Linked DNA regions of Lepisosteus oculatus. The protein of the gene in region 1 purifies or fractionates together with the protein of each later gene. This does not show direct contact. Links are inferred from orthologs where the notes say so. Each region holds a gene or a part of one and is shown on either strand. Other genes may lie near its edges.

Region 1 (15,521 bases):
AAAAAAACAGGACATTTAAAACTAGACCCCCTAATCTAAACATTTGCACTCCCTGCCAAATGATACCTCACACAAGATTAGCCAGACAGATCTAGCAATAACCACGGAGGGGCGATTACAAAGCGAAGCCACCAGAGGGCAGAATGAGCTCGAGTTTCCCAACGCAGCAGCTCAGCACTGGCAAATTGTAACGATCTGCAGGTGCAGGAGGGAGAGTCGGCCGGTCGGTAAGCTGTCATGCAGCTCTTTGACAGGCCTGCCAGCTCTCATTATGACAGCAGTAGCTCTTGTGTACCATAATAATACAGTATATACTGTATTAATACAGCTTTTGAATACAGTAGTACTGTATGTATTGAAAAAGTCAAGTTAAGGACTATTTAGTAAGACCGTGTACATCTTGTATTTGCAACTAAAAGCCAGCACTAGGCCTGATGTTTTCAGGGTCAGTACTAGCGCTGAGCTGAGTGAAAAGGTTGCTCTGTGGCAGATGGAGTGCTCCCAGCTGCCAACTGACTGAAAAATCTTCAAGAGGCAAGACGTCAGGAAACAAGACAGTCTGAGCGAAACTGGAACTTGCTATGACAGCCCGCAAGAAGAAATCACCTATTAGGCCCAGTGTTGAGTCAGGCTGCGCTGGTCCACTGTCAGTCAGATCCACACAGTAAGGGAGGAACTGTATAGAACAAGTAGAATATGAATATAGAACCGGAGACTCCTGTTGAGCAGAGGTGCTTAAAGTAGAGAATTACTTTTTACTCCTTAACTGTATAATAGGAAAGATACTTCAAATGTTACAGTTTCATGGAAATATCTTGGTTATCGCAGCAGGGAATTTTTGGTTTCACAATGTCCAGCAGCACAAGGTTGTCCCAGAGTTCCTGGCAGTCAATGAACTGACACCTTTGTAGTGGTGGAGGGACATTTGTGTTTCATTGAACCGCTCAGCTGCGTCATCAAGAACCCAGGGCTCCTGGCTGGGCCAGGTCTGAGGTGAGGTTCCAGACAAAAAAAAAAAGCAAACCCAAGACTTGAGAAGCTTTAAAAAAAAGTGCAAAAGAACCTGGACTGTAACGGAGATCTGAGATACACTCAATTCCTGGAGCCAGGCCTGGAGATGCCATTCAACAGGCAAGTTCTGCTGTCATTGAAACCAAGACCAGAAGACACTTCTTTACCAAAGGGGTTGTGGGCGTATGGAACAAGCTACAGTACCTACAGGAGCCAAGTGGGTGAAGCTGATATCCTGGTTTCTTTCAAGAAGCTGGATAAGATTTTTTTACCAACTACCAGCCACCTACCAAATGGGCTGAATTTGTAACCTCTCGTTTGTTCTTATGAATACCTGGACCACCTACGAACCCTCAATCATCTAAAACAGCTGCATGCAGCCATCCTGTGGGCCCAGAACCAGCAAGATGAAGGGTGAGGGTCAGGTACAATAACAGTGCAGCACTGAGAGGGATAGACTACAGCAAACTGGGCCTTGCCAAGGCAAACTGAGGTATGAGCTCCCTTCACTGGATTACTTAAATGTTGCTGCAAAATCACCAATAAGCACATGCACACACTGTGAGGTTCATTTCCTATATACAAAGACAAAAACAGATTTTTAAGTTTTCTTTATTGCTCACCTGTCATTTAGTTACACTTTCCAGCATTTTCTCATAACTTATGTACACAAACTAGCCAACAAACGGTATCACGTCACTTCTTGTCCTTCTTGAGTAACAAAAAACGTAAGCAGGGCTGGTCAGCAGAAGGGTGCAGCATTAGCAGAAGACCTCCGGGTGCACAAGGTCATCTTCCCAGATGGCCATGGTTCTGTCACCAACTCATTCATACTTTTGCTGAACCAACCTTGTAAACTCATGCTTAAAGCAAATTTAAGAAAACTTCTTTCAAGTAAATTTCAAGTCAAACAACTCTATTGGTGGACTGCAAGAATTTCACTACACGGTAGCATGTTTCTGAGCCCCAGACCTGGTGAAATGTGCATGTAGTTTTGCAGACCGTTATAAAGTGTAGTGGTATTAAATACTCAGCCTCTGAACTTTGACTTTGACTAGATCCTTTTTTTTCAAATAATCCAGAGGATAAGGCTATTCAAATTCCAGCTTTAGTGACTACAACAGAGCTCATATTGTCTTTTCAGCTTGTGGGACACAATTAAATCATCTGAAGGTAATTCTTAGAAGCAGGATCCAGAGTGAAAAGAAATATGAGGAATAATTCTTCTCCCACATAAGGAACACCCTATTACAATACAAAAAAAAAAGATTGCATAGGTACTGTCACATCTGTTATATGATTAAAAAAAATCAAAAGCAACAACTGCCAGTGTGAGAAATAAAAATCATTAACAATGTGACTTGTTTTTTGTTGGCAACTATCCCTTTTTTTTTTTTGGCAAGGAAAATTTCAGGTTTCGGTTTTCTCTGACAAAATTCCTTTACCAGCACAAATTAAAAAGATTCAACCTCCTGCCAGGCTCTCACTGTCGCTGTGCAAACTGTAAAGGTTTAAGGCGTATTCCCCCCTTCCTCATCTCCGAACGTGTGAGCTCTGCTGCAATGACCGCGGGGCTGTCCTCAACTGGCGTAGTGCCGCCCCTGGCCGAAGCCCGCCTGATTATACTGATAGCCCCCCTGCTGGAAGTACTGCTCGAACTGCCCTCCCTGGCCGTAGTTCTGCGCTCCTCTCCCTCCCCAGCCTCCTCCTTGGCCTACACGACTGCCCCGGCCCCGGCCCCCTCGCCCTCCGCGCCCCCCCCTGTCCTGGTGCCCCCCCTCCTGGTATCGGCTGTCCTGCTGGTACGCGCCCACTCCACCTCCTTGGTAGCTGCCCCCGCCACCCTGGTATCCACTTCCTGGGTAACTCGGCGCCTGAAAGCCGCCATGAAAAGCTCCGCCGGAGTACCCCCCACTGCCACCCTGGTAGCCACCCCCGCCCTGGTAGTTGCCCTGGTACGCGCCGCCGCCGCCTCCTCCGTCTGACCAGCCTCCTTGTACTTTACCTCCTCTTCCACCCCCCCCACCCCTGCTGCCCCCCCGGTCGTAGCCTCCTCGCCCCCCTTGCGACGGCTGCTCGTAGCCCCCTCTGCCCCCTCCTCTGCCCCCGCCGCCCCCGTACCCCTGCCCACCCCCGCCTCCTCCGTGCTGCTGCGGCCCGTCCTGTCTCTTCTGCCAGCTGGGCATCTCTGGGGGGGGCGGCTCAATCTCGTTGGGTCTCCCGCCTCGGTCGGGCACTCGGCCCATCAGCACCTAGGAGACACAACCATGAAAATCTGCCTCTGCTCGATACCGAGGACACCTGCTAGCTGCATCAGGGCACCTCTTTCTTCCGCAGCGTTAGTGGAATAGCTTCACTTCACCTGCGGCTACATCACCCTGCAACTCACAACCAGCAGCCCTCTGAAGCTCAGCAGGAGTGAGCCTGGTCAGTACCCGGAGGGGAGACCTCCTGGGAAAGCTAAGGCTGCTGCTGGAGAAGTGTTAGTAGGGCCAGGAGGGGGCGCTCACCCTGTAGTCTGTGTGGGTCCTAATGCCCCAGTAAATTATGCTATACTGTAAAAAGGAGCCATCTTCGGATGTGATGCAGAGGTCCCGACTCTCTGCAGTCATTAAAAATCCCTGGGCATTTCTCCAAAAGAGTGGGGATGTTACCCCAGTCATGGCTTTACCAATCATGGCCTCCTAATAACCCCCCTCTCTGAACTAGCTCCATCACTCTGCTCTCCTCCCCACTGAGAGCTGGTGTGTGGGGAGCGTACCGGGGCACTCTGGCTGCCATCACATCATCCAGGTGGGGAACATTGTTGGCGGTGGAGGTTGTTGAGTGCAGTGTCAAAAAAAGCACTATACAAGTATAAGGGATTATTATTATTATTATTAAAAACTCCTTTTCTTCAATTTAAAAAAAGCCATCTTCTCTTTTTGGCACAAACAATCAATCCTCCCCACCACCAGGGTAAAAGTATATTCGTTTTTCCGTGACTCCTTACTTTGTTAATGGCACAGGCAGTCCTCTCGCGGATATTCCCACTGCTCGTCCTTAGGATTTTGGACAGATCCTCCCGCGCAGCGAAGAGATGAGCTACAGAGACGGTGCTTTTCGCAGCGAGAGCTGCACGCTTTGGCTGGTACACTTTGGCCAACTTTTCAGTGTGAGCCTAAATTCCGATTTAAAAATAAAAAGTTTGTGGTTAAAGCCGAAGTAAAAATGACCATCCAGGATTCTGTCTCAACATACACACCTCGTTTACAGCTGCAATGCACAAGCGTAAGAGGACTGATGAAGGGTCACTGAGCAAAGAAAAACGACACATTTTCTTTGAGTCCTTGTCACTGTGTGAAAATTTAAAGCAAAATCTAAAGTAGCACAGGTTTATCTATAAGAAATACAGCACTGCAGAAAAGGTTCAGCTTCACTGAACATCTTACCTTGGCTCTTTCAGACCAACCAAATGACTGAACTGTTACATCAAGACGTTTCAACAACATCTTCCTCCGGACTTCATATTCATTTGCAAGGGCTTGGTTAATGGCTTCAACCTTCTCCTGCCAAAGGACACATCATGTGCTTTACATTTACATTGTGCTACAGCAAAGCACAGCACTTTCCCTTACCAACACCACAGCCAGTACTTCCTGAGGGTGCAATATCATGCTAGCAAAATGAAAAACAAGACTAACTGCACTGGAGTATTTCAGACCTACTAGCAAAGTAGTGTTTGCATTTTTGCATGTTCTCTTCTGTCTGTTAAGGTGCTAATGTAAATGACGAATATATATTCATCACAGTTCCCGTCAATGAAGTGAAATAGGGCCTGCCATAACAGAAAATAAGGAACGTTATATAAAACCCTTTGATTGTTTACAGTTACAAGAAAATACAAGTATTTATAAACTGTTTTTGTGTCTGTTATACCCTTTTCTTGAGTTTTAAAATAACTATCTGCCTTACAACAGATTGCATCCTGCAATAACTCCTCCACCAGCAGTCAACACTTTCTGCAGTATTTACCCAGTGAACTGGTCCCAGCGTTTTCTTCATCAGGGGCTTTCCGACGTGATAAGGAGACACCTTGGACAAAGCTTCCTTCAGCTGTTGATCCAGACAAAGACACCTGCATAACTTTAAACTGGATGGACCCCCTTCATGACCAAAACTGCCATGCACGATGATAAGAACTTGGATTTGGGTTTTCAAGCAAACAAACACAAGAACTTACAAACATGGTCTAAGAACCAAGGTTTCAAAACTCAATACAGAACACTGTTTTTTTTATGGGAGAAGTCACACTAAAACTAATATATATCTCCTCTTTTTCCTAATCCCATATTACAATTTAACCCCCTTAATTCCCCTCATTACACAGAACACTCTTGTGCTCTTTAGATGGTAGTTCTGGATAATAATGTGAATTATATGACCAGTTTGGAGCACAGCAGAAAATTAATGCACTGACCGTGTAACACCAGTCCGGGTTTTATGTCTGCCTGTCTCATGAGAATGTTCAATAGCTCAATTCTACTTAGAATCAGAGTCCTAATTACTAAGCAAAATGCCGAGCCATGGAAATCTGTGTGTTTTGAGTTCAGGTCTGGTGAGGGGTGCCTCTATACCAAGGAGAATCCAGCTGAGCTGTGTGTTGTACCTTCTTCTCGATGCCACTGAAGAACTGGAACATGGAGATGTTGGCAGGGGGCTTGGACATGCCCAGTCCCATGCAGATCCCCTTCAATTCCATGAAAACCTCACTGCCTCCTGCCTCTTGCACTTTCTTCTGCGGTCTATTGACGATGATCATTTTTGAGGCCTCCAGCTCAGAAATAAGGTAAGCTGAAGGGCATTAAAACATGCATTAATCTAAGAACACTAAACAGACTTTTTATATTTTCTTTTTCAACAGGAACGGTGGGGTCTTCAGTTACATCCTATCAACCTGTTCAGTAACACAAATGAGGAAAGAACGGATACTAAGTCAGTGCTGAGACTTAAATAAATGTAAAAACTGAAAATTCCAGGGCAACCAATGAAACAGACAGCATTTCTCTATCTAGTGCAAGATTGTGCTAAAGTTGATTACAGCAACAGGCTACATTCGATTAGTATTTCTGCATCACTGTATTTGTGCACGCTTGTTTTCTGCACTATGCAGTGTTGAAACGTGGTGCCTCTGTCTGTGTCACTGCTTTCCAGTCTGATTTCTTAGTGCTTTGCCGTTATTAGCATTTCTGGGAAATCAAATGATTCACTTAAGAATGGACTACTGTCGTGCACATACTGATCAGCAGAAGGCAGTTGTTCTTGTTCATAAGCCGTTTGGTGACGTCTCCTGACGTGAGAACAGAATAGGGGCACATCATCTCGGACAGCAGGCCGCTGATCTCCAGCTGAAACCCTTCTGCTTCCCCGGGACCTGGGCAAACAAGAGGCAGCCTGCTTTGGAAAACTACTTTTATTCAGATACGTCTCCTGCTCAGAATTTACTACAGAGAACAAGAGAGTTGGTTGCAGAATGTACTCTCGCTGAGACGAAACACACAAGTAAAGCGAAAAGGCTTCTCTCTTACTGTTGGTGGCTTGGATGTTCTCCTCCAGTTTACAGTAGAGCTTGAGCTCGGTCACAATCCAAGCGCACACTTTAGTGAACTCGGGGGAGGCTGCCCCGCTGGACACTGCCTGGTCCAGCGCTCCGTCCTCCAGGAGAGGGCCCTTATAGCTGCCAAGAGCAAAGGGCTTTATCAACACACGCAGCGACGTCGGGGCTTTTCCAGACCCTTCAAACCGATTTCGACTTTGTTTTGAGTGCACAGGATGGAGAGTGACACAGTGGCGCTGCGGTTGGCACCGCTGGGGTTCTGGGGTCAATATCTGGGTGCTTTCTGCATGGATCTTATATGTTCTCCCTGGGTTTTCCGTGGGTTTACTCCGGGTGCTCTGGTTGGTTAACTGGCTTCTGGGAAAACGGCCCTGCTGTTGAGTATGTGCGCTTGTGTGTGCCTCCTGCGAAGGACTGACATCCTGTTTAGGGTGTATCCTGCCTTGTGCCCGCTGCTTGCTGGGATATACTCTGGCTCTCCCACAACCCTGAACTGGAAGCAGTGGTTAGAAAGCGGATGGATGGCGGGCAAGATGTCTGACCTGTTACCACAACCCCAAGGTAAAATGTCATTACTTTATTTCTGAAGAAATGAAACGGCCATTTACAGTGGCTTCATTTATTCAGCAGGTTACTAAAGTTGTGATAGATACAGCTCACAGAGTCCTACAGGTACAATAATAAGAAGTCTTGGGTTCCATGCGCCGTGCAATTAATGCAGGGAAAATAAATGAGGTCTTCCCTAACGCAATTTATGAAATATTTGGTCTTTCACGTTCACGTTTTCACAGCAACACAATTAAAGTCATACAAAAACACAGGATAATACGGTGTTTTCATAACGGCAACGCCATAATTCTCTTAAATAACGATAACCCAGCAAGGAATGTCAGGTAAATGAAATCAAAGCCACGTCTTTAGTAATGTTTCTATAAAGCCCTAGTGGATAATAATGAACATATCGAACAGCTGAAACTCCCTTTACCGACACGAAGCGCCAGGAGGGCAGCCGATTTGCGGAGTCTAACATTACCGGTGAAACATCCAAACAACAACAGTGACTCGATTCATTCTGATTCAAACACAACTCGTAACGCGTATTTGTGTTAAGAATAGAAACACTGCTGCCAGCACGCTGGTGACAGTCGCGCTGTGTCACACTCCTCACTGTGAGCAAACAGCCGCGGAATCCTGTCACGTTTGATCACATCACCAGTTTCACATACCCCAGGTCTTCTAACGCGTCCAGTATGTCGTTTTCCATTTTCCCCGACACGTTCCTCCGAATGATCAAAGGACAGAAATTAAAAAATCAAAGTAGACGTGCCTGCCCTCACTCGGGTGCTGGGTTGGCATGCCGGGGTCCTAACCCGACCTCTCAACTCGGCGAGGGCCGGCCAGCGCCGTGCCTGTGTCGCCAGTAAAAACGCTGCGTCTCACGTACGCCCACACCAATACGCAAAAACCCACATTTCGTTATTAACAAAATATGGTTAGAATCTTTCGAAGAGGTATGAGCGCGTATTGTTACTGCTGAGGCACCGAAGAGCATCATTTCGCGTCAGGGGTCTTCGCTTTGGCTGACGCAGCTGCGCCTGTGCGTTCTTGCAGCCCGGAGCCCGGCAGTATCTGCGCAGCTCCGCGTTCCTTACTGGCTACGTGCGACGTCACTCAGCTCTTTCTGCACACATCCTGCGCAGATCCTGACCTTTGCTTTAAGCTCGTGGTTCAAATGCGCAGCACAAGAGACCGCCTGCGACTTTGAATCTGTAGCCACGAAGTTAAGGTCAGGGTGTCCTAACTTAAATGCGTGATTTCATTTTTGTTATATACCTATGTAATTAACAACATATAAGGTTCCAAACCAAAGGAGGGAATCATGCTTGTTTGATACTTCAGCAGCTAAGCAAATCTGGGCTTTTCAACTGGTGAGGTACAATACAAGTATGAAGAAATTTGTAGTGAGGTGAAACCTGACAAGTGTAGTCCATTTGTGCGATAATTTCAAAGACAAAGTAGTTCCTGGCAGCTGAGACCTGTGCAGGACCCTCTATTCCTTTGTACGTTAACTGTATTGTCATTGGAATGATCCAACCAAGTCTGGAGAGAATTGTTCTTGAACAGAAACAGCACAAGGTTTAACAAGCAGTTGACAACCGGTTCATCCAATTGAATGGGAAAAATAACTGCTGCACTTGGGAGGTGTAATTCAGAAGCATGTATGTTGATAGATGAAATCCATCACGTTTGATTCAACCGATGAAGCAGCTCTAGAGACAGAAGCAGTTTGAGTTGTAAGAAAAAAACTGTCAATCAGGCAGCCCTCTCGACTGATCTGTAACTTCTGTTAGAAAGCTAAATCAAGAGGAAGAGCTACGTTTGGGGTGAATTGGCTGAATATTTTTTAACCAGTGTTAGCTGCACACTGGTGGTGGTGGAGGGGAGTCCCCATTACCTGTAAAGCGCTTTGAGTGGAGTGTCCAGAAAAGCCCTATATAAGTGTAAGAAATTATTATTATTATTATTATTATTATTATTATTATTATTATTAGGGGGCGGCTAGTGTCATGAGCAGTGTTTCTCATAAACCATTAGAATCACAAAATACAGAAATCATAGAGCTCTGAGGTCTTAACCTTGGTCCGACTCTGCGTGTGTGCCACACTTATGAGCCATTCCTCTAATTGGAAGCTGGACAAGACATCACCAGACTTTGGCGTTCAGGGTTCATTTCTGTAATGGCTGGCAGTACTGAAGAAGGACTGATGGGAAGGATTTCAGAAGCAGGCAACTGCCAACTGTGTCGCAACACAACTATTGGAAAGGATACCGCTAGACGAAAACAGGGTTCAGAGTACCCTCACCATGGTAAAACACATGATTTAAGCTGCAAATACAAAGTCAAAGACATTCAAACAGGTACTCTTTTTGACTTGGGAAAAAGAGAATCTTGTGTTAATGCCTGCTGTCTACAAGAAAGGACTTGGACTCTGCATTCCACATAATGGGAATAAAAACAACAACAACAGTAATGTCCATGCATATTATTTTATTGATTAACAGACAATGTCACAAAACTTTAAATCTGAAACAAAGAAAGCTGAAAAATCCTAACTTGACTAGTTCAGTATTATGAGGTCTGCAGATTTACTCATAATCATTGTCTTTATTGTTTACCCTCAATGGTTTAAAGGTTTGAAATTATAATAGTGATGAAAATACAAGTAAACACCACAATTTGACAAAGATCACCAACAGTTTTGTCTATAAACCTCTGCTTTCACTTTTTACCAGATGTGATTTTCTAAGTGTTCGGCATGCCTCAGTGTTGGCACAGGATACTTATTGACTCACAGAGTGGGAGATGCAGTGTAAGCAATGCCTTTCCTGGTACAGAAACAAGAAGTGGCAGTCCGGCAGAACCAGACTGATAAAGACACTGGTAAATACACACAAATAGTGGACAAGGTGGACAAGGAGAACTCCTGCAGGGGCTGAAAAAGAAAACAACATCTTTCTCTTTTTTTTTGTAGAAATATACACAAATTGAAATATGAAATAAATAACCTGCCCCTAAAATAAACTTTGGCCATAAACATTTTTTCCAACCACAGTTTTAAAAACAGGGCATTTGTTAAAAAGTTTGTTTTGTCCACATGGAGACTCAATTCTGAAGATACATCACTGACAGTTTTCTTTGCACGTGTTCTGGTTATCTTAGGCTAGAACCATTTGCAATTTGGGAGATAAGTATTGTAATCTAGCTTTTGGGGAAACCACAGCACCCCCTTTTCAATCTTGCTTGATTTTTTATTTCTGTACACTAGGTGACATAGAAACAGAACTCCCATAATGCACTGGATATGACTAGGAGCTCCAGAAAACAATAAATAACCATAATGCTGCGGTCTCTAGCCTAAGGATATCTGGGGACATGTCCTAAAGTGTTGAGATACTCTGTTTTTTGACTGTATTTAACTTTTTAGTCAGGCACTGCGTAATATCATGAGACAAGGGCTAAGACTTCATGAGGCTGATACTCACGAGTCTGATACTATGTAAGGATTTGAGATGACATCATTGCACTTTGACCTTTCGGATGGCTGGCAAGCAGAGCAAAAAGCTTTAACAAAAGTGGCTTTAAATTTAGTGCCTTACTAAATCAATCCATTTATTTTTTTTATAATTTCTTGTAATTTAGGGTCACAGGAGAGCCAGAGCTTATTCCAGCAAACAGCAGACACAAGGAAGGATACACGCTTGACAGGACACCAGTCCATCACAGGGCAGACAAGCACAAACACGGATATCACATGCTCACACCAAGGCCAGTTTTCCCAGAAACCCAGAGGAAACCTGCATGAACATACCTGTACAAACTTCACACAGGTAGCCCCCCCAGTCAGGAATGGAGCCTAGGGGCCCAGCACTAATGCTAACCACTGTGCCACTGTGCCGCCATGCTACCCAACTTTACTAAATCATTTTTTAAACTAACATTATTGTTAATTTTATGCAATTTATTGTGTGGGACTCTTCTGAAACAAAATCTATCAAATCAACATCTGAAATGATTTGCAGGGCTCCTGATGTTTCTTTCTGTATGGCTCATGTGCTTGACTGTGTAATTCTTATGGTCTTATGCTAAATTAACGGATTCCAAGTGTCTGTACCTTGTTTTGTCCTGTTTCTGTGTCGTATATTGATGAAAACACCTAGAACCTATTACTCATAGCAGAATTGCTATATTAGCTGAAGTATCAATTAACCAATTTATTTTTCACAAAATAATTGTTTAGAATGTAGGTTGTCTTGGATAAAGTACTGTAGTAATACCACTACTACTAATTATATTAACGTGCAGTTTACTAATTATCATTAGACAGTTACTCAAGTATTGATCAATTGCCAGGAAAAAAGCAAGTAATTCACAATCCTTCTGACTGCTTTTTCTAGTTGCAATACTCTGGAAAGTAAGGAGCTGAGTGACCACAGCATGATGGCACAGAAAACAGAATGTGCACACCAGCAGCAGAAAAGAGATGCATTGTATTTAGTAAATTATACAGTAGGATACCTGTGCAAGCCCACTTTGCTGTGTTGGGTCAAGGTGTGTATTACCAACATTGTGCAAATTTGTACATAGATTTTGATTTGCGAGAACAGTAGAAAGTGGTTTTGCTCAGGATTTACTTTTCTGTTTATGCCAGGGGAACATAGCAGCAGTGAGGAGAAACATCTGCTCTTTTTGCTCACATGGCTTGGTCACAGCATGTCGGAAAATGAAGTCGACACAGGTCAAGTTACAGTCACTCAGCGGCACAGCCAGACCAAACTCTGGCCTGGTGTTTGAGCTGCTTTAGAGAGAAAGAGCCAAGAGGCTTCTCTGTTCTCTAAAGGTAACATATCAATGTGTCTCTTCCCCCACAGTAAAGGCGTATTTGTTGAAAAGATTGTCAGTTGGCACTTTTACACCAGACAAACGCTGACAAACGCCCACTGCCCTGGTCACTACAAGGATTGCTCCAGTTGAAAACTGGTGCAACTGAAATCAATTCAATCCCAAACATCACCATCCACCTCACATTCTCAACCGAAGGTGATCCTATTGCAGATCAAAATGGAACTGGGTTGCAACCTTCTGCAAATCCAAACAAAATGCAAACAATTCTGGATCATTTCTTGAAGTTTTAACACACTGGAGGAATTTGCATGCAGAAGGAGGTCCTGTTAATTTCCTCGTCTCAATGTTGAGTATTAAAATGCTGTCTTGCATGACCAAGAGGATGGGAAACTACAGCTCAAACCAAATAGCTGCAGTTCTTCTCAGACTCCACCTGTTACAAAATGTTGTGACAAACACTGCATGACTACAGGCTACTCATATGTCGTTTTTTGACTTCAGAAGGTCAAAAATGAAACAGGACCTCATGTTCCTCTCTGGGGGTTCCTAGCATTCAGGCCAGAGAGTGTAGATTCATAATAAACTGTTACATTACAAACAACATTTAACGATAAAGAATTTCACTGGTGTTCTTTAGATTGACAAAGGAGCTGAGATCTGGAATTTTATCAGAAATACTGAGGCATTAGCGAAGTACAATAAACTGATCTTAGCTCATAAATTACAATTTAACTCTTCATTTTGTATTCAAAACAATACTAACTGAATAATCTTCATAAACATTTGAACAACATAAATGACATAAATTTCAGGAGCTGTAAAAAAATAAAAAAACTTATTTTTCAAGTAGACCAGCTATTTTAATAATATTAACAATACAACTTGGGATGAGCCCCAAACTTTATAGAACATATGCGACTGTAGATCTACATCAAGATTGTCAGTGGAGAATACAGGAGCCTTTATCATGTAATCCCTTTGTTGGTGTGGGTGTTTCCTGATATCAAGAATATTTCTCAAACATGTATTGTAATTCCAGCTAATGATGAAGAAAAGTAAAATGGTTTGCTGTCATAAGTACCCATTAATAAATGAAGATTCCTCTTTTAAATGGTCTATTTAAAATGTTGAGATGTTTCAAAAAGCATCAGCCTTTCAGAAGGCATTGGCCTTCTGTATTCAACTGGGTGGTATCCACTGTCCACTGGCAGTTTTCAACCTTACCCGGTCTCTCTGCAGACATAACCTGCCAGTGCCCCATTACTTCAGTTTTAACAGAGTTTCTTGTGTCTAAAAGCAGTTGCTCACACAAACTGCTTCACAGTGTGGGCTATCTGACTAACACACCAAGATGGGTCTACATGTATTTATGAGCCATCTTGGTGGGGAGAGGATAGGCTTTCATGTTCCCAGATTCAGGTAACAATCAGCCTGTGCTGCTCAGCTCTGGATGAGAGACGTCCTTCACCAGGAGCTGTGGATGCCTCGTTACAGGTCTCGCACACCCCTCCAGCACCTGGCTGTGCTTCTAGAATGTTCTCTTCCACAGCCAGCTGACAAGGCCCGGCTGACTTCACAGAGTCTTTCAACAGCCAGGGGGCCACATTTAGCTTTCCACTCTCAGGTAACAGTTATTCCCCTATCTGTCTATGTTTCAATTAAAAACACAGCCTATAAACAACCCCAATCAGGTGTTTCTAGGGTCTGCATCCCGTCTGAGATCTGTGCTGAGTCTGCCCTCTACCAGAATGTTCCCGCTTTTAGGAGATAAAATCTTTTCAAATTTGAAAAAAAAAGAACAAGTTTTTAGAAAACCTCCCTTTCAACAGTCTGAAAAAAAATAGAGCTTTCCTAGAGGCAAACATGCGTAATTAGCCATAATCTTCAAAAGTAGTCCAAACTGAAACTCTTTTTCCATTTTTTGAACTATTCCTACCTCGGTCAAGCCTGACTTGATAAACAGACACTGAAGCCATACTCACTGTTAGTGCTGCGCTACAGATGTGGAGTATATACTATTCTGTCCTTTCTGTATAGACATGAATCCACTTTCTTTCTGTGTCTCACATACATTTGTCCTCCTCTCTGTATACTATTGCCATCTTACCTGCATTCTCTACATTTTCTCTCATTTGTTTTTCATCTCTTGTCTCTTTAGCCTCATCATAAAGAAATAAGGTTCACTTTCCACTGGTACCAGTAACAGGTGAACCTCGTGTACTGTATTCTGGCCAGGATGCAGAAGATTTCATTCACTGGCTTCTTGTTCAGTCAATAAAAACGCAGTACAGCCCGTAGCCACCCACTGGAGAAGATACCGAAACTCAGTCTGAGCAACTGGGGTACCAGTTTCTGTCCGGGCAGGTTGGAAAGGACAGGGAAGAAGAGTCAGGAGGAGGGAAGGCTGTGTGGAACGGGATTTGCTGAGTACATCTACATAAACAAGACCATGGGGTGGGCTGAGGGGAGACAGACCGACAGCCGTCTGTAGCGTGGGGCCTCAGCCCACCTGAGGAAGTGCCCCATTCCCCTTCGTCAGAATTTGGCACTGCCCCTAGGCCACGCCAACTGCCCCGCCACACTTCGTGAGGTTCCACATACGCCGATCCTGCTGGAGCGCGGGGGCCCGCTTCTGGTCGAGCCGGGGCTATTCCAGTTCAGCGAGCCAGGGCTTCAGGCAGCCCAGCACGTCTCCCATGATCCTCCGGGGCCGGGGGCGGGGGGGCCTCTGCAGGCTCACGGGCGCGTCCGACCTGGCAGGAAGTCAGCTGTCCTGTCGACAGAGCGCAGCGGCAAAGCAGATTTCATGAGCAAGCACATTCCTTCAGAAATCTTGGACAGGGAGTGAACACAAGGGGGCTGTATCGGTCAGGACAAAGGCTTTTAATTTTCCCCTGTTTTTGTCAGATATATGTCAGATGTAAGCTGTACACGAGCGACGTGGTGGCACAGTGATCGGCAGTGACGGGGCCCTGGGTTCAATTCCGATCCAGGGTGCCTTCTGAGTGGATATTGTACATGCCCGTTCTCATGGGTCTCCTCCCGCAGTCCAAACGCCTCCTGGCAGGTTAACCCCAGGGAAATTCCAGGGCCTTGGTGTGAGTGTGTGCACGTTTGTATCCATGCCTGCCTGCTCTGTGGTGGACTGGTGTCCCACCCAGCGTGTGTCCTGCCTTGTGCCTGTTGCGTGCTAGGACGGGCTCTGGCTCCGTCGTGACCCTGAGTTTCATGAAGCAGTTAGAACGTGGATGGAGGGAGGGATATGTGAAGACTGACACATGGGCCAAATTTGAGAAATCTGTGATTACCCAAAATTCCTAAAGGGAGACTTCAGTGCTAAAATGTATTTTATATAGAATGTAATCTGTTTTAAGTTGAAGTTTAAGATATGTTAAGATGTGGGGATCTCATTGTCAGGAGTGATCTCATTGTCCACTTGAAGGTAGGGGAAAAAATATTATTATTCCCCTTTAGATTCCTTATTTCAGCAACTGTTTGTTTTTCAAATAC
Region 2 (16,003 bases), on another chromosome or scaffold:
AAGCGTTGGCTGTCGCAGCCTCACTGGTCAGGCCTGTCCTTGGATTCGTCATAAACCACCACTCTTTTTGGATCTACGGGGGAGAGATTGAGAGAGAAGCAGGTTTTAGTTCCCCAGTGCGGAAGGCATATTGAAGCAACAGATCTTCGTACAACTTTCCCTTGGTCTAACTGGGCCACTGTGTTCGATGCAGTTCGCACCTCTCAGGTCTGAAACCACTCCAATGAGCAGAACACCAGAAAGCTCTCGCTTTGGAAGGGACTGCGATCTCCACTTTTCTTTTGCTAGGTTAGAAAGATGGATTTTTATTCCTTAACACTGTAAAAACACTGCTCATAACAGCAGAGACACACTCATCTGGGTTTATAAAGGTTTTAACTGGGAAAGCTCAAACCTCCTTTTTCTAATTCAGTTCCAACCAGGATAATGATTCTGGAGGGAGAAATCTAAACTGAGTAAAAAAAAACCTCTGGTACTATCCGTCTGAAACAAACTAACATGATTTTCCTTTTGCTTATTAAAATATTCACTTAACCTCAAAGCAGAACCTGAAGCATTTACAAGATAGATTATTTTTCGTATCACAGTGCAAAAAGAAGCCAACTCACTGGCACAGCCTTATGTTTCAGGATCTCATTCTGAGGCTGGGGTACCTCAGTACAGCTATTGCCCCCAAAACCCCTTTGGTATCAGGGACTAAAACTCCTCCAAGATTGAGGGGACCGGTCTGTTAACTTGTTTCTACTAATGACTGATCCCGAAGACTGACTGACTACCCAGGAATCTCCAGCCACATTCCGCACTGCTGTTCTGTAACCTGAGCATGGTTCACCAAAAAGAGCCCAACCAAAACCCCTCACACTTCACAGTGCTCACCTTGTTTCTGCAAAGTCAAAATATATTCCATTTCTGCAAAATAAAAGAAAGATTCACATTAAAAATACATGCAAACTTGAACACATGCATGCATCGCATATACGAGATAGCCACTAATCCTTAAAATGTTTTCTTCTGGCAGATCAATACTAGTGCAGTGGTTTTAGTCTTTTCTACACGTCTCAGCACAGATTTCATTAGGTTTCAGGCCTACAGAATTGAAAAAAAACTCTTTAAAAATAAACACTGTACTGATGCAACAGGAGAGAAAGAACATAACAGAATAGTGTTAGGAAAATAGGAAATAGGAAAAAAAACAAAGAGAAAACAGATCAGTACATGAGATGCACATTTTTCTTCTCACACCTCAGTTAAAAACAAGTAACCCCCACCACCCAAAAAAACAACTCTCAGCGCTTATCCACCCTCTGAGGTTCAGCAGCGTCAGGCAGGCCTGCTCCAGGGAGAGCTGGCGTCTAGACTGCACGCGCGTGAACCCAGGGCTGGCTCTCCGACCCCTTCACCAGGGAGACGCTGGCAGACCGCTCACTGCCAGGTACTTCCCTGGAATCATCGGCCTTTCCAGAGCTGCGCAGCTCCGATTTCCAAACACTCCCGATCCCCAGCCATCCTGGGCTCATTTCTCAACTCCGCGAGAGGCACAGCTCTACAGACCGGAAAAGGGACGACAGCGCCCAGGCAGGCCTCCTTAAACACCACCCGCGGTGGAAAAGGACATCGCACTGCCCTCAAGCCCGAGATGCATTACCTTTAGTGTGATAAATTACAGCAGCTTTTAGATCAAATGAGCCCCAGCTACTACTCCTGTCACAGGCTTTCGTCTGGCCCTGTTCTTTGGCCGCAGTCAACACAGGATTGGCTGGGGAGGCCTGAGGCGATTCGGCACCAAGGTCCTTAGCAGAAGCGAACTCTATTGCACCTGGGCTCCCCGCCTCGCCCTTCTGGGGGTCCGGCACGAGAGGCTGAAGTGGCGCCCCCCCCTCGGCGGCAGGGGCGGGGGGGCACGTTTTGAAAACACTGGCGAGGGAATGGGGGCTAGTCCGTTTGTCGAGGTCAGAAGCCTTTGGGAGGGTCGGGCGGTCCAGCCCTGGGGCCTCGGCGCCCCGCGCGGCGCACTGCCCCTGGAACGTCACCTCGGCCGCCCCCCCGCCCCCCACCGCGGGCCGCCCCGGCGCCCCCTCGGGCCCTGCGCTGGGCTCGTTGATGAAGGACAGCCCCCACTGGTTCTGGAAGATGTCCCCCAGGGCCTTCTGCTGCGAGGGTACATCCACCGGGCGGGCGCTGGGCAGCGCGGCTTGCATATGCGCAGGGGTCAAAGGGTACACGAAGAGGCCGGGTTTCCTGGGCTCCCCGCTGCCGCCGCTGCTGTCGGGCGACGAGGCTACATTCTCGCCCGCCGGCACCGCGGGGGCGGGCGTCTCGGGACAAGCAGCGCCGAGGAGGGGCCCGGCCGGCGAGCAGCAGGCCGCCTCCGCGGAGACGGGCCCGTTCGCAAAGGCCGCCGAGGCGCCGGTCTTCACAGCGGACATGGGGACGTGAGACAGCCGGGCGGGCAGCGGGGGGGCCTGGCTCTCCTTGTTGAGGTTCTCCTTGACTTTGCTTGCATAACTGATCTTGGGGACAATCTTGGCGCTGCTGTTGTCCACTGGAAAGACGGGGGGGGGCTTGAACAGGGTCCACGAGTCCTCTCGGGGCGCCACCGAGCTGGCGGGCTTGACCTTGCCGGGCTTGTCCTCGAATTTCTTGCCGGGACACCCGGCCGCCTTGCTGTCCGAGTTCTTCCTCTGCAGCTCGCCCGCCGGCCCGGCCGGGACCCCCGCCGCCGGCCCGCCGGACCCCAGCTTGGCCCGGCTCGGGGGGGCGTCGGGCCTGGCCCCGCAGGGCTCGGGCTCCTGCGGCTCCTTCACGCTGTTGCGCCTGGCCTTGCGCTTCTTGGGCGTGGTGTAGCCGCTCTCCGACCCGCTGCCGTCGTTGTCCGCCGCCGGCCGGCCGCCACCGCCGCCGCCGGGGTAGCCGTTGGCGACGCAGCCCGAGCTCAGGGCCACGACTCCGTTCAGGAGCGGCGCCGGCTCCTTCCTGTCCGCGGGCCTGTCACTCCTGCTGTCCATACTGGTCTTATGACCAGGGCCGGCTTTGCTCCCCACTTTGGCGAGAGTGTCCGCAGTCCTGGCTGCCTGGCGGGGTCTGGGGGGAGGGTCTACCAGCTGCCTGCTGCCATTCCCGGGACCGAGGAGCTCGGCGGAATCGCTGGCAGACAGGATCTTCTCTCTCTCCGCTGCGCTGCCGTTTATTTTGCCATTTCCTACAAAATAACCAGAGAAAACCAAGAGTAAATAATGATACATAATTGCTGACACTTATATAGCGCTTTTCTGGACACTCCACTCAAAGCGCTTTACAGGTAATGGGGATCCGCTCCACCCCCACCAGTGTGCAGCCCCACCTGGATGATGCACCAGTACTCTCCCCACACACCAGCTCTCAGTGGGGAGGAGAGCAGAGTGATGAAGCCAGTTCAGAGATGGGGATTATTAGGAGGCCATGATTGGCAAAGGCCAGGAGGAAATTTGGCCAGGACACCAGGGTAACACCCCTACTCTTTTCGAGAAACACCCTGGGATTTTTAATGACCACATAGAGTCAGGACCTCAGTTTTACGTCTCATCCGAAGCATGGCGCCTTTTTACAGTAGTGTCCCTGTCACTATACTGGGGCATTAGGACTCACACAGACCGCAGGGTGAGCACCCCCTACTGGCCCCACTAACACCCCTTCCACCAGCAGCCTTAGTTTTTCCCAGGAGGTCTCCCATCCAGGTACTGGCCAGGCTCCCACCTGCTGAGCTCCAGTGGGCGGCCAGCTGTGTGTCACAGGGTGTGTCACTGCTGGCCGTAAGTTTAAAATCAGTTTAAAGGCTGCTGAAAAACCCCAGCGGTCTGAGCAGAGGTCTGTGTCGTCACAGATTTTTAATAGATCTTCTGCATCAAAACTGAAGTTCTAAGAATTTTAGATCATGTATGAGCGGTTATATTTCTGGTCTGGCTTTAGCAAAAAAAAAAAAGCATTTTCTTTTCTAAACAGGAAGAAGACGAGCACGTTACAATCTAATTCGAGTTCAGAAGTCGTGTTAAGTAGGAGACACTGCCGATTCAACGCCCAGCGCAATATTTTTTAGAAATGAAACTCAGTAACATTAACACTTCCATCCCACAGAACTGTTATAACACGTTCGTTATCAAATATTAGCTTAGCAACATTTTGGCAAATATAGCTCTTCCCTCAATTTCTGGCAGCTCTCCAAACAACAGAGTTCCTAGTAAGCTGCAGTGGGGTTGTGCAACACTTCATAACAGCGTAACAAACACAATCAAAATAAACAAGCTTGAGAGACCACCCCATCCCATCCTCGGAGCTCGTCTTTAACCTGTGTGGTCTGCTCCCATTTATAACTCCCACTGCAGAGAAAACGTCAAAGTCAGTTTCATACGGTGAATCGCCATCAACCCTCGGACCCCTAGCTTGTACAGCAAGAAGAGACCCTTAGCGTCTCTCCTCCTGTGTCCTCCACTGCAACAGCTGCAGCATGGCGAGAGACTGGCCCAGCCAGGCCTGGGGTAGTCAGCCCGAGCGCAGACGTGAAGACTAACCTGCACTGGAAGCCTGTGGAAGGGGCAGTATCCAGCCAGCTCCCCTCCACCCTTAGTGCTTGTGTTCTGAGTGAACCGTCTCCCTTCTTTCCCAGGACGTAAATCACCTCATGCTGCTGCCTCCCCACATGAACAAGCCCAGCAGGAAGAGTTTCAGGAAAGCCGGTCCCCTCTCCTAGCGGAATCGGGGGGGCCCCCCCACAAGCAGAAGAGGATCGGACGGGTTCTGTCTGGAATACAGACCTAGCTGCCACACACACACACACACACACACACACACGTCCTCCGAGAAGCTATTTTACTGTGGCAGTCAACCACACGAGGATCTCCCGTCTGCAACAAGCAAAGACATCGGACTATTTAACACCCGTCGATGCAGGTGCTCCCACAAGCACGACTGGCAGGGCTCCTACTCGCTTCTACCAGCAAAATGCCAAAGCTTTTCCCTAACTTCTCTTCCTGCATCATTTACATCTTGCACGTCCTGGGTCTTCATCCGTTCGGAGCGATAGCTTGTGTTTTTCACCTGCTAACCAGAGGTCACTGAAAACACATTCACCTGCCATTCTGAAATGGGCGCGAGGCGAGCTCATGGCTCACTATAACATTCCCGCGAGAGGGACTGACGCGGTGTACTGTTGCCAACGGCCTCTTTTTAAAAGTTTGCTAGCAAAATCATATGATACAGCCCTGATCATCTTGGGTCAACTTAAAAAAAAATCCTATAACTTTTCCCCAAAACGTAATGGATATTCTATTTTTTTATCATTTTCAAAACTTTTCCAGGTCTGGAAAATGAAATTTCACTTTCCATACCTCTTCCAGGATTTCCATGACAGTGGGCACCCTGTACCGAGGTAAAAAGAGCGCTATGTTTTCAGCATGAAGGCATTAACTGTGCCTATTACACGCACCCGAGCTTTTCACAGGCTTACACAGGTGTACACTTACCACAAAAAAAGGTTACTAAAATGCAGCCTTTCTAGGCTTTAAATCAAAGCTTTCCAAGATGCAGAAATCATCTCTCCTGCAGTTCACCTGATTATGTCCCATCCAATACACAGGGGATCTTTCTAGTGGCAGTTAGCACTGAAATACAAATCTGTGCTATTCCATTACCGTGCTGTCCAGTGAGCTCACAGGCACGCTACACTCCCTACACGTGTTAGACATGGTAGGAGTGAGCCAGTCGCTCCAGCCCAGCAGGCCAAATGCAAGACTAAGGTGAAGGTAGAAATGAGAACAACCACCCCACGCTTGCGCTGAAAGCGACCCTAGTCTGTCCACCACAAGCAGCTTTAAAGGAGCGAGAGAGGGCCTGTGGTGTCTTTGGAAAACAATGTGCGATCTATGGTGATAATCTGACTGATCTTGTGCTGTGACGGCGCCAGAACTGTTCTCTTTTTGAAAACAAAAAGGGGCAACGCTCCACTAAAACCCCATGTGATCGATTCTCCCCGCTGTTCGCGTGGCGCAGTGGGACCCTCTCCACGCCGCGGTTCAGGAGTGGTGGTGCTGATGCACACGAACTCAACGTCTGCCCTCACGCCAACTTGTTTTTTTTAAAAAAACTACACGAAGCGTAGCGTTCTCGGCCTCCCCGCTTCGCCATCATCCCCATTACGCGTCGGTTTGGCTTTTGCGAGCGACTTAAGGCGACTCCGCAACATGTTGCTGGGATTTGCCAAGAAGCGTGGAAGAGCTCGCTCCGCCTCGCGTGGCGCTTCCCCGGCTGCCGGAGCTCTCGGGCACGCGAGATCTCCACAAACTGCACGAGCAGCAGTTCTTCCGCCTCAACACGTTCCTTCTCCTGGTCGGCTAAACGCTTATTTAAAACAGATTAATCGCCCCCCAAATACCAAAAGTGTCCACATACACACACACGGCTTCCTATGAATGATATATGTGTACATACAGCTCAAAAGCATGGCCACTATTAATAAGAGCACAACCAGCCTCACGAAAACGGGTACACGGGCAAATATCCCGAGGAAAATGAAGATGCTATACGAGGGAAGAGGGTAACTGAGACCCGTGGTATTTCATTATCGACTACAACAACCTTCCCAAAAATAAAAAAGTATGTGCTACCAATTTTGGACAAAAACGTAAACTGGGTCAGTTCTCCAAGTTAACTAAAAAACCATCTTAAAGCATTGAGGTGCATCTGTAACTCGCGGCTTTATTTTAAACATTTTTCATTTACTGTTCCGTTTTCCTATTTTACGTGAAAAACGAAAATGACTGGGCACCCCGTCTCCGGGCGGGCGGCTGTCAAGTCCTCTCTGCTGCCGACAGAGGAGACGGGTCTCCGGCGCGGCCTTGCACGGAAGGACACCGTCCCAGGACACTAAAAACACGACACTGGTTTGATCGGATCTTTGGAAGATTCGTCTTTGCGGGTATTTTGCTGCATTTTTGTTGAACACCGGCTCTCCGATTGTAGGCCCCCCCCGCCGCCGCCGCCTCCGGAACAGCAGAGAGCAACAGGGCCCACAGACTCAAGGAGAGCGATCCGGGGTCTCAGTAAAATACTACGCTGGCGCCCACTTTCACCACACAAAACGAGAAAATCAATCCCCTGAACTTCCCGGGGGTGCCACGACGGCACCGACAGCTGTAGAAAGTCATGGTTTGAGAGCCCGGTGCTGGGATTTTCGCTACCAACATGGCGGACAGGAAATAGCAGCCGAGTAAACTGAGGAAAAGCACATTCCAGCGGAGCCGGCTTGTGTTGGTAAGGGGGGAGACGAGCACTCAAAACCCCGCGATTTTCTCAATTAAAACTGGCCCTTTCGCACGACCCACCCCGAGACAGTTCGAGAAAAGAGTCTTTTACTGTAAACCAGCGTGCCAGGCGGCGTCCGCCCTCCTTAGATACGTCTAAAAAAAGTGACCAGGAATCGCTGCTAACCGGCAGCACAAGGTCAATCTCCATATTACAGACAGCTACCCTCCGCCGTCTCACAGTGGAGACTCACGCACCCAACTTCCAGCTCAAATAATTCCCCATCTTCAGCTGTTTCTGGCCTTAGCTAAGCAAACCCGACCTGTTTTCTTCGCCTGCGTTTCCTGGTGGTGGTGCTGGCAGTGGCTCGGCTCATTTTTCAGCGTTTTCCTGGGCCGGGTCGGGCTCCTCTCTCCTCCATGGTGGTAGCGCTGCTGAGGTGCCCGCACGCTGGGCTGTTCCTCCATTGAAGTGTAGCAGGAGACTCCCCGGCTCCGGCCAGTGCGCACTGCTCACCGGGCTCACCGAGCGAGAGAGAGTGGGGGGGGTGCAGGACCGCGGCCCTACCCAATCGACGCCGCGACCCCAGCGCTGCCTCGCTTGGTCTCTGCTGCTGCCGCTCCGGCGAGAGGCTGGACCGAGAGGATCAACGTCAGCAGTCAGCCGGTGGAAGTAGCGCCGTCGGCACCGCTCTCCTCTCACACCAGGCGAACCGTGCGTGTAGCGTGTGCAGGCACGGGGCTCTTTCGCTTTGACGTTCCTCGCCGGTCTCACGGTCTTCCCCGCCGAACATGCATACTGTACATGCTTTTAAATAAAATAAATACCCCTTCGTCTCGGTCTTGGAGTGCTCGGTGGCGGAGTCATATTAACATTTTTTTTTACTTCGATACTTAGTCATACACGCAGGTAGCAGTTAAATACCTTGATAGAGAGGGGGTGCATTATGTACCCAGCCCGCATTCCTGCATTTCACCCAATTTTAGGTGTAAAGTTTAATTGCCTGAACCCCCCCTCCCTCCTCCTCTCTCTCTGTCTCTCCACCCCCTTGTAGCGAGTTTTCCAGAACGTTACTTCAGCCTGTTACACGGTAACCCATTTTTAAACTTCTCGTCGTCACGTGTATATGACTCAAGGGACCCAGGCTGTCTCGGCGTCTTCTTATAGACCGGCTTACAACTCACTTACTGGCCCAGCACCTTCGGAAACGTGTTTTTACTGTACGGTATTCACAAAGACCCGGCACCTTCTGACCCGGTCTCTCGTCACATGAGCGTGACGCTCACGCTGGGCAACCTCTCCCCCAAACACAGTCCTGAAAAACAAGTGTTTCAGCGTGCATGCATCTATACTTATTACCCATACGTGCGATTCTAAATGTTATGTTCTTGTATATTAATCAGTCTCCAACCTATAGCACTTAAGGACTATTGTGACAAGGTGACCGAAGTTAAAATATAGGCTAATTGTCATAGCGCAGAGAAGAGATGCTGGTTTTTGTTTTTTAGAAAGGTTGGTTTTCCTCCACGAAAAGAGATCACTCGGGTGTCATTAAGCACGTGTGGCTGACTAAGCGAATACCGGCAGTTCCTTCGAAATCAGGTGGTTTGCTAATAACACGCAGAGGGGTCGCAATCATCCCTCTATTAATGCTTTTAAGGTAGAATTCCTCTTTTAAATCTTTAAAAACAAAACAGCTCCTCCTCTCCTCCTGTGACGTATATGAACAATCTTAGATTCAAACACCACCCAGGTGCTGTAAGACGCCGCGAATTGTAAGCAAGTAACTACGCGAAACTGCTTTGCTTTATTTAAAGAGCAATAAGATGCATGTTTCAGCAAAAAAAAACATTTCAGTTCAGCATTTTTAAACATCCTTTTAAAAAAATGACGCTACGCCCAATTCTGAATAGGGCGCAGAATGAGATTACTGAAGGCAATCTTCAAGTAGAATAAAGGATTATAGGAACAAGTAATAGGTTTATTCCATGCTGAAAACAGGAAGAAAGAAAACAACGTTTCGGCCGTGGAGCCTTCTTCAGAATTGGGGGTAGCGTCATTTTTTGATACCAGATTATATACCAGTAAAATGTGATGAATGAAGCGGCAGTTTAAGGGTGCTTCTGCAGTTCCAGTAAGAGAAAGTTTATATTACACGTGTATAAATATAATGAGTATACAGATTTTTAAACAACATGTTTGCCTTAGTTAATATTTTTTCCCGAATACGCCCCGGTCCGGCGGTATCACATTAGCAGTAGCCCTTATGAATAAACCTATTACTTGGCCCTTATGAACCGATGATCCAATAATCATATTTAAAAGGCACGATTATATAGAGCGAACAGTTTAATAACAGTTCAAGTGCTCAGGGCTATGGTAAAGAAGCCGCTGAAGAGCGCTAGGAAGGTATAGGGATACCGAGGACGACGATCCTGCAGAAGCAGTTGCAGCTCTAGTCCGGTCCGCCGGAACAGCTATTTGTAGAGACATCTAAGACGCCACCACCCACCCCCTTTCCCATTATAACCAGGCCCGCACCTGCTGCTTGTCACACACAATCAGGAGCGGGGTCGTCAGGCTCGGGGAATGCCGGGCTGGGGCACCGCGGGCGAAGCTTAATGAAAGATCCCTCGTTCTGCCGGAACAAACTCTTCGGCGTGCTCAATGGGAGGCGGGGGCGCGTCCCGTGAATGTAGGGTGAATTTTAGAAGGGGCGCCCCTTTTGTGAAGTCCGACACCCAGTTACACAGAGCTGCGCTTCCAAACGGCAGGAGACGCTCTTGTGAAATAACGGCATTCATAGGCAGGGCCATCATTTAGAGAGACATCCACGCTTTATTTAAATGTGGGTCTTGCCTGCCTATATTGTTAGTACATTATAGCTAGGTTCAATCGCAAGGATGCGATTTTCAAAACATAAGCAGGTCTAAGACATGCTAAGAAAACTAATGGTAGCAGCCGAAAACGGCGCTGTGTCACGCCACGAGTCACCCTTCACTGAGTTCATACTGGGTGAGCAGCACAGGCGTTTTGAGGAAACAAACAGAGCGCATTTTCCATGGCGAGAGGACAATCGTGATTCACACAGAACATCCTGGAATACAGGACGTATTGGCTGTTTGCTTTTCAAAACCCTTCTGCACAATCTCCATGCTCCGCGGCGCCCGCATTCCTCACACCCAGAGTACGGTCTCACCTGCACATGAATCACCGCTGCAGGTACAGCACCTGTCCCCTGCGGTCCAACAGCTCTGCTGTCCTCTACTGCCTCCTAGAGGCTGTAATACGAAGATTTTTATAGATATCAGAATGAGAAAATAATCATCATCATCATCAGTATCATCATCATCATTGCTTACACTTATATAGCGCTTTACAGGTAATGAGGATCCCCTCCACCACCACCAGTGTGCAGCCCCACCCGGTATCACCTGACTTAGTTCAACTTAACTGCACCACAGTAGGTCACTTTAGCGTATATTCACTTGCTAAAACATTTTGTGTGTGCACGAAATTTCGAATGAAGTTTCCTTGTATCTGTCTGATACAGTTAAACTCGGGAAAACATCACACGCTCTATATTATAACCACCAGAAATGACAGGTTAATTGCTTTTAATAATAAAAACAACCCAACCCAGGGATAAGCTCCAGCAGCTGCAACCTTTCCCAGGAATAATAATTGATTTCAGATTTTAGAAGGACGGATGGAAAAACCGCTGCATGACTGAAAGACTCCCCCTGCTGGCCAAGGTTGTAACTGCGCTTCCTGGCGGCCCCCCTCGCTTCTACGGAAACTGCTGACGTGCCGCCTTCCTGGCGGTTTCACAACCCTGGTGACTGTAGAAGAAGCTGATTTCGCCTGTAATTAAAGAAGAGGAACAAAAAAACATAAACAAAATAAAAAGGACGTAAAAATTAGGCTCATGTATAAATCACAACCATCTAACATAATTTTTGAAAAAATAATAATTCTGGCATTCACACAACAAATTCAGATCCAGGCCTCCTTGCAGGACACTGTTGTTTTTGCAGTCTCCCTTTCTGAGCTTGGTGTTTTGCTGCATACAAATTTACTTCCTCTCAGTTCTCAGGGACCACAGTGCCCTGAATCTATAATTCAATGCACTGAATTAATGTGAAGAATTTCTGTTTTGGAGTCGTTTGCTCCACACAAGAAAGGGGTGACTTTTTTTTCTTTGGTTTGTTCATCACCAAACTTTTCTTCAAGCACTGCAGCTTTCCATAACAGCTTGCAAACTGCACAAAGTAATTTCCATCTCACAGAGGGTCACGATTCGCTGCACAGGTGCTTGAATTTAGGAAAGACGACAGTATACAGTGCCTTGCGAAAGTATTCGGCCCCCTTGAACTTTTCAACCTTTTGCCACATTTCAGGCTTCAAACATAAAGATATAAATTTTTTATTTTATGTGAAGAATCACCAACAAGTGGGACACAATTGTGAAGTGGAACGAAATCTATTGGATTTTTGAAACTTTTTTAACTAATAAAAAAATGAAAAGTGGGGCGTGCAAAATTATTCGGCCCCTTTACTTTCAGTGCAGCAAACTCACTCCAGAAGTTCAGCGAGGATCTCTGAATGATCCAATGTTGTCCTAAATGACTGATGGTGATAAATAGAATCCACCTGTGTGTAATCAAGTCTCTGTATAAATGCACCTGCTCTGTGATAGTCTCAAGGTTCTGTTGAAAGCGCAGAGAGCATCATGAAGACCAAGGAACACACCAGGCAGGTCCGTAATACTGTTGTGGAGAAGTTTAAAGCCGGATTTGGATACAAAAAGATTTCCCAAGCTTCAAACATCCCAAGGAGCACTATGCAAGCGATCATCTTGAAATGGAAGGAGTATCAGACCACTGCAAATCTACCAAGACCTGGCCGTCCCTCTAAACTTTCAGCTCAGACAAGGAGAAGACTGATCAGAGATGCAGCCAAGAGGCCCATGATCACTCTGGATGAACTGCAGAGAACTACAGCTGAGGTGGGAGAGTCTGTCCATAGGACAACAATCAGTCATACACTGCACAAATCTGGCCTTTATGGAAGAGTGGCAAGAAGAAAGCCATTTCTCAAAGATATCCATAAAAAGTCTCGTCTAAAGTTTGCCACAAGCCACCTGGGAGACACCCCAAACATGTGGAAGAAGGTGCTCTGGTCAGATGAAACCAAAATCGAACTTTTTGCCCACAATGCAAAACGATATGTTTGGCGTAAAAGCAACACAGCTCATCACCCTCAACACACCATCCCCACTGTCAAACATGGTGGTGGCAGCATCATGGTTTGGGCCTGCTTTTCTTCAGCAGGGACAGGGAAGATGGTTAAAATTGAGGGGAAGATGGATGCAGCCAAATACAGGACCATTCTGGATGAAAACCTGTTGGAGTCTGCAAAAGACCTGAAACTGGGACGGAGATTTATCTTCCAACAAGACAATGATCCCAAACATACAGCAAAATCTACAAAGGAATGGTTCACAAATAAACGTATCCAGGTGTTTGAATGGCCAAGTCAAAGTCCAGACCTGAATCTGTGGAAAGAGCTGAAAACTGCTGTTCACAAACGCTCTCCATCCAACCTCACTGAGCTCGAGCTGTTTTGCAAGGAAGAATGGGCAAGAATTTCAGTCTCTCGATGTGCAAAACTGATAGAGACATACCCCAAGCGACTTGCAGCTGTAATCGCAGCAAAAGGTGGCTCTACAAAGTATTAACGCAAGGGGGCCGAATAATTTTGCACGCCCCACTTTTCATTTTTTTATTAGTTAAAAAAGTTTCAAAAATCCAATAGATTTCGTTCCACTTCACAATTGTGTCCCACTTGTTGGTGATTCTTCACATAAAATAAAAAATTTATATCTTTATGTTTGAAGCCTGAAATGTGGCAAAAGGTTGAAAAGTTCAAGGGGGCCGAATACTTTCGCAAGACACTGTAGACAGACATTTGTGTAAGAGTCGCAGGGCATGAGAGGGAGGTCTGCTTTACCTCTGTTCTCCTCACCCTACAGCATCTTCTCGAAAGTTAGAATGAAAAGAGAGAATCTGAGGTCACCATATCACCCTGCAACGCACAGCTGGCAGCCCACTGAAGCTCACTGCTCAATGTTGCTCGCAAATGATATTGCTTCTTTTGTACTTCAACTCTTTCTTGCCCATTTTCCTTCATTTATTAATCGTTTAACCTTTGTAGGAAACAGGGTCCAAGGGACAGGAAGTTAACTGTCCACTGGGAGGCGCTCTGAGTATCAGATTCCTGAAGATCCACCTTGCACATCCCTGACTTCAGTCACACAAATATTCCAGTGATGGATGGAACTCTAAGAGTAATCCTAGCAAAACCCAGCAACTACCCCAGTTCCAAACACTGTCTGAACCCTGAACAGCACTGGTTCCAGTATTGGTCTCTATTTCTCCAGTATTACCCTCGAGGAGCACAAAGGGCAGTTCAACACTATTCAGATTAAATCCAGTTTACTGCACAGTAGTGTTTTCTACATTAGAAGAAAATTAATGTGAAGTCCAGACCGATATTTTCTTTAAACTTCGGTATGGACCCATTTTGTGTTTGTAGTTCTTGTTGGGAGCAATACTAAATCATACAAGCCCCCTCACAAACTCAACGACGGACCAAAATACTACTAAAGGTCTACAAGTAACACAGTTTACAAGAGACTGTCTTTTGTGTAGCAACAGGTTAAGATCAGGCACAGGCCCAGGTCAAATGTCTGGGTTCTGTGAGCCAGTGGGTGCAGTATTTAACTGCGTGTTCACGCCAGAAGCCTTTTGGGATCCATGTGTCACTTGAGTTCCAGATTAGTTAATTATTCACTTAACTGAACATATCTGACCCCTTTTTCGGAGGTGTTAATTAGCAACACGTTAAGGAGACCAACAACTCTGACCCTCAAGGATGGGACTGAAGGAACGCAGACATGAAAGGAAGAGTCCATGCAGGAGGTGTCTGCACTCACGGAGGGCTGTCCTTAGCGTCTGCTGTCCTGCGCCGATCAACCAGGAAACGGTCATCTCCTTCTCCGCGGCCTGAGAACAGCCTCAGGACATCACTGGTCATCCCCTCGGCTGACCTCGGCCTCTCACCCTGACCACTCTCCCTGTGCTGTTATTTACAGGAGATAATTAGCACTTTGAGAAAAGAGACTGTCTCTCACACAAGCTGGAATGCAGTTCTTCCCCAGTCTTTCTGGTCCTGACTTTTTTTTTAAACAAAAGCTATCTTTTATTGTTTCGATTTAAGTCCAAATTCTCTTAAGTCAGCAGCTTTTTAAGCTTCCTCTCATTGTCCTAACACTGGCTTTCCAAATCTCCACATATAGCTAAGAAATTCAAATATGATAAGAAAACGGCGCTGTGGCTTGTGGTGTAGTGTGCTGGTCTGCGGTCAGGCAGTAAGGGGCTGGATTCAAATCCAGAAACTCCAGACCCTTTTTTCATTATGCCAGCAGCCACATCACCCTGCAACTCACAACTGGCAACTCACTGAAGCTCAGCAGTGTGAGCCTGGTCAGTACCTGGATGGGAGACTCCTGGGAAAGCTAAGGCTGCTGCTGGAAGAGATATTAGAGGGGCCAGTAGGGGGCGCTCACACTGTGGTCTGTGTGGGTCCTAATGCCCCAGTATAGTGACGGGGACACTATACTGTAAAAAGGTGCCGTCCTTCAGATGAGACGAAAAACTGAGGTCCTGTCTCTCTGTGGGCATTTCTCGAAAAGAGTAGGGGTGTTACCCTGGTGTCCTGGCCAAATTTCCCCCTGGCCTTTACCAATCATGGCCTCCTAATAATCCCCATCTCTGAACTGGCTTCATCACTCTGCTCTCCTCCCCACTGAGAGCTGGTGTGTGGGGAGAGTACTGGTACATCATCCAGGTGGGGCTGCACACTGGTGGTGGGGGAGGGGATCCCCATTACCTGTAAAGTGCTTTGAATGGAGTGTCCAGAAAAGCGCTATATAAGTGTAAGCAAATATAAATTAATTATTATTAATTAACACTAAAACCTATACGCAGCAGTGATGGAGATGAGATTTCCATTCAACAGTTAAATACACTGTATTTAAAAGAACCACTAGAGGGCAGTGCTGTGTAAGCAGATATTTACATTGGCGGGGACGAAAATTCCATTTAAATAATACAATTATAATAAAACCCTCTATGGTCTTTAAACAGGAGGATCCTTTGTTGAAAATGCAGCAGAACACACCTGAGGGCGACCAGACTGAGGAACAGCAACACAGCAGCACATCCCTAGTTCTTCACAGTCCAGCACAGGCAGACCTTACAGTAGTTGCCAAACTCCAACAAAGAAATGCCTGAAAAAGAAAATTATGTTGTGTTATGCACAGAGTGATTAGAAATAATTTGTTAAGACGTTTCAGATAAAGCTCTCTCAGCTGCTTAGAAAGCAATGTTTTGCCTTTAGAAAGCAATTCCAGCAGCCCACTGAAGCCCAGCAGGTGTGAGCCTGGCCAGTACCTGGATGCGAGACTCCAGGAAAAAACTGAGGTTGCTGCTGGAAGAGGTGTTAGTGTGGCCAGTAGGGGGCGCTCATCCCGTGGTCTGTGTGGGGACACTATACTGTAAAAAGGAAGAGACGTAAAACTGAGGTCCTGATTCTCTGTGGGATTATAAATCCCAGTGTGTTTCTTCAAAAGAGTAGGGGTGTTACCCTGGTGTCCTGGCCAAATTTC

What was found.
Region 2: the proteins of fam98a (region 1) and nufip2 purify together in Homo sapiens (co-immunoprecipitation; 3 studies listed by BioGRID and IntAct, with this or other methods). This does not show direct contact. The link is inferred for Lepisosteus oculatus from reciprocal best matches to the Homo sapiens genes FAM98A and NUFIP2.

The regions. Positions count from the first base shown.
Region 1 is NC_090712.1:17,468,806-17,484,326, reverse strand, and holds fam98a (protein FAM98A), read right to left. Parts: upstream 8,011-15,521; 5' UTR 7,872-8,010; coding exon 7,834-7,871; intron 6,728-7,833; coding exon 6,579-6,727; intron 6,425-6,578; coding exon 6,290-6,424; intron 5,845-6,289; coding exon 5,660-5,844; intron 5,107-5,659; coding exon 5,026-5,106; intron 4,560-5,025; coding exon 4,443-4,559; intron 4,172-4,442; coding exon 4,004-4,171; intron 3,264-4,003; coding exon 2,592-3,263; 3' UTR 1,608-2,591; downstream 1-1,607. Other genes in the region: rasgrp3 (ras guanyl-releasing protein 3), read right to left, coding at 14,669-14,779. UniProt on the Homo sapiens protein: Positively stimulates PRMT1-induced protein arginine methylation. Involved in skeletal homeostasis. Positively regulates lysosome peripheral distribution and ruffled border formation in osteoclasts.
Region 2 is NC_090721.1:9,000,543-9,016,545, forward strand, and holds the start of nufip2 (FMR1-interacting protein NUFIP2), read right to left. Parts: upstream 8,591-16,003; 5' UTR 7,740-8,590; coding exon 7,595-7,739; intron 3,200-7,594; coding exon 1,646-3,199; intron 910-1,645; coding exon 877-909; intron 74-876; coding exon 21-73; 3' UTR 1-20. UniProt on the Homo sapiens protein: Binds RNA.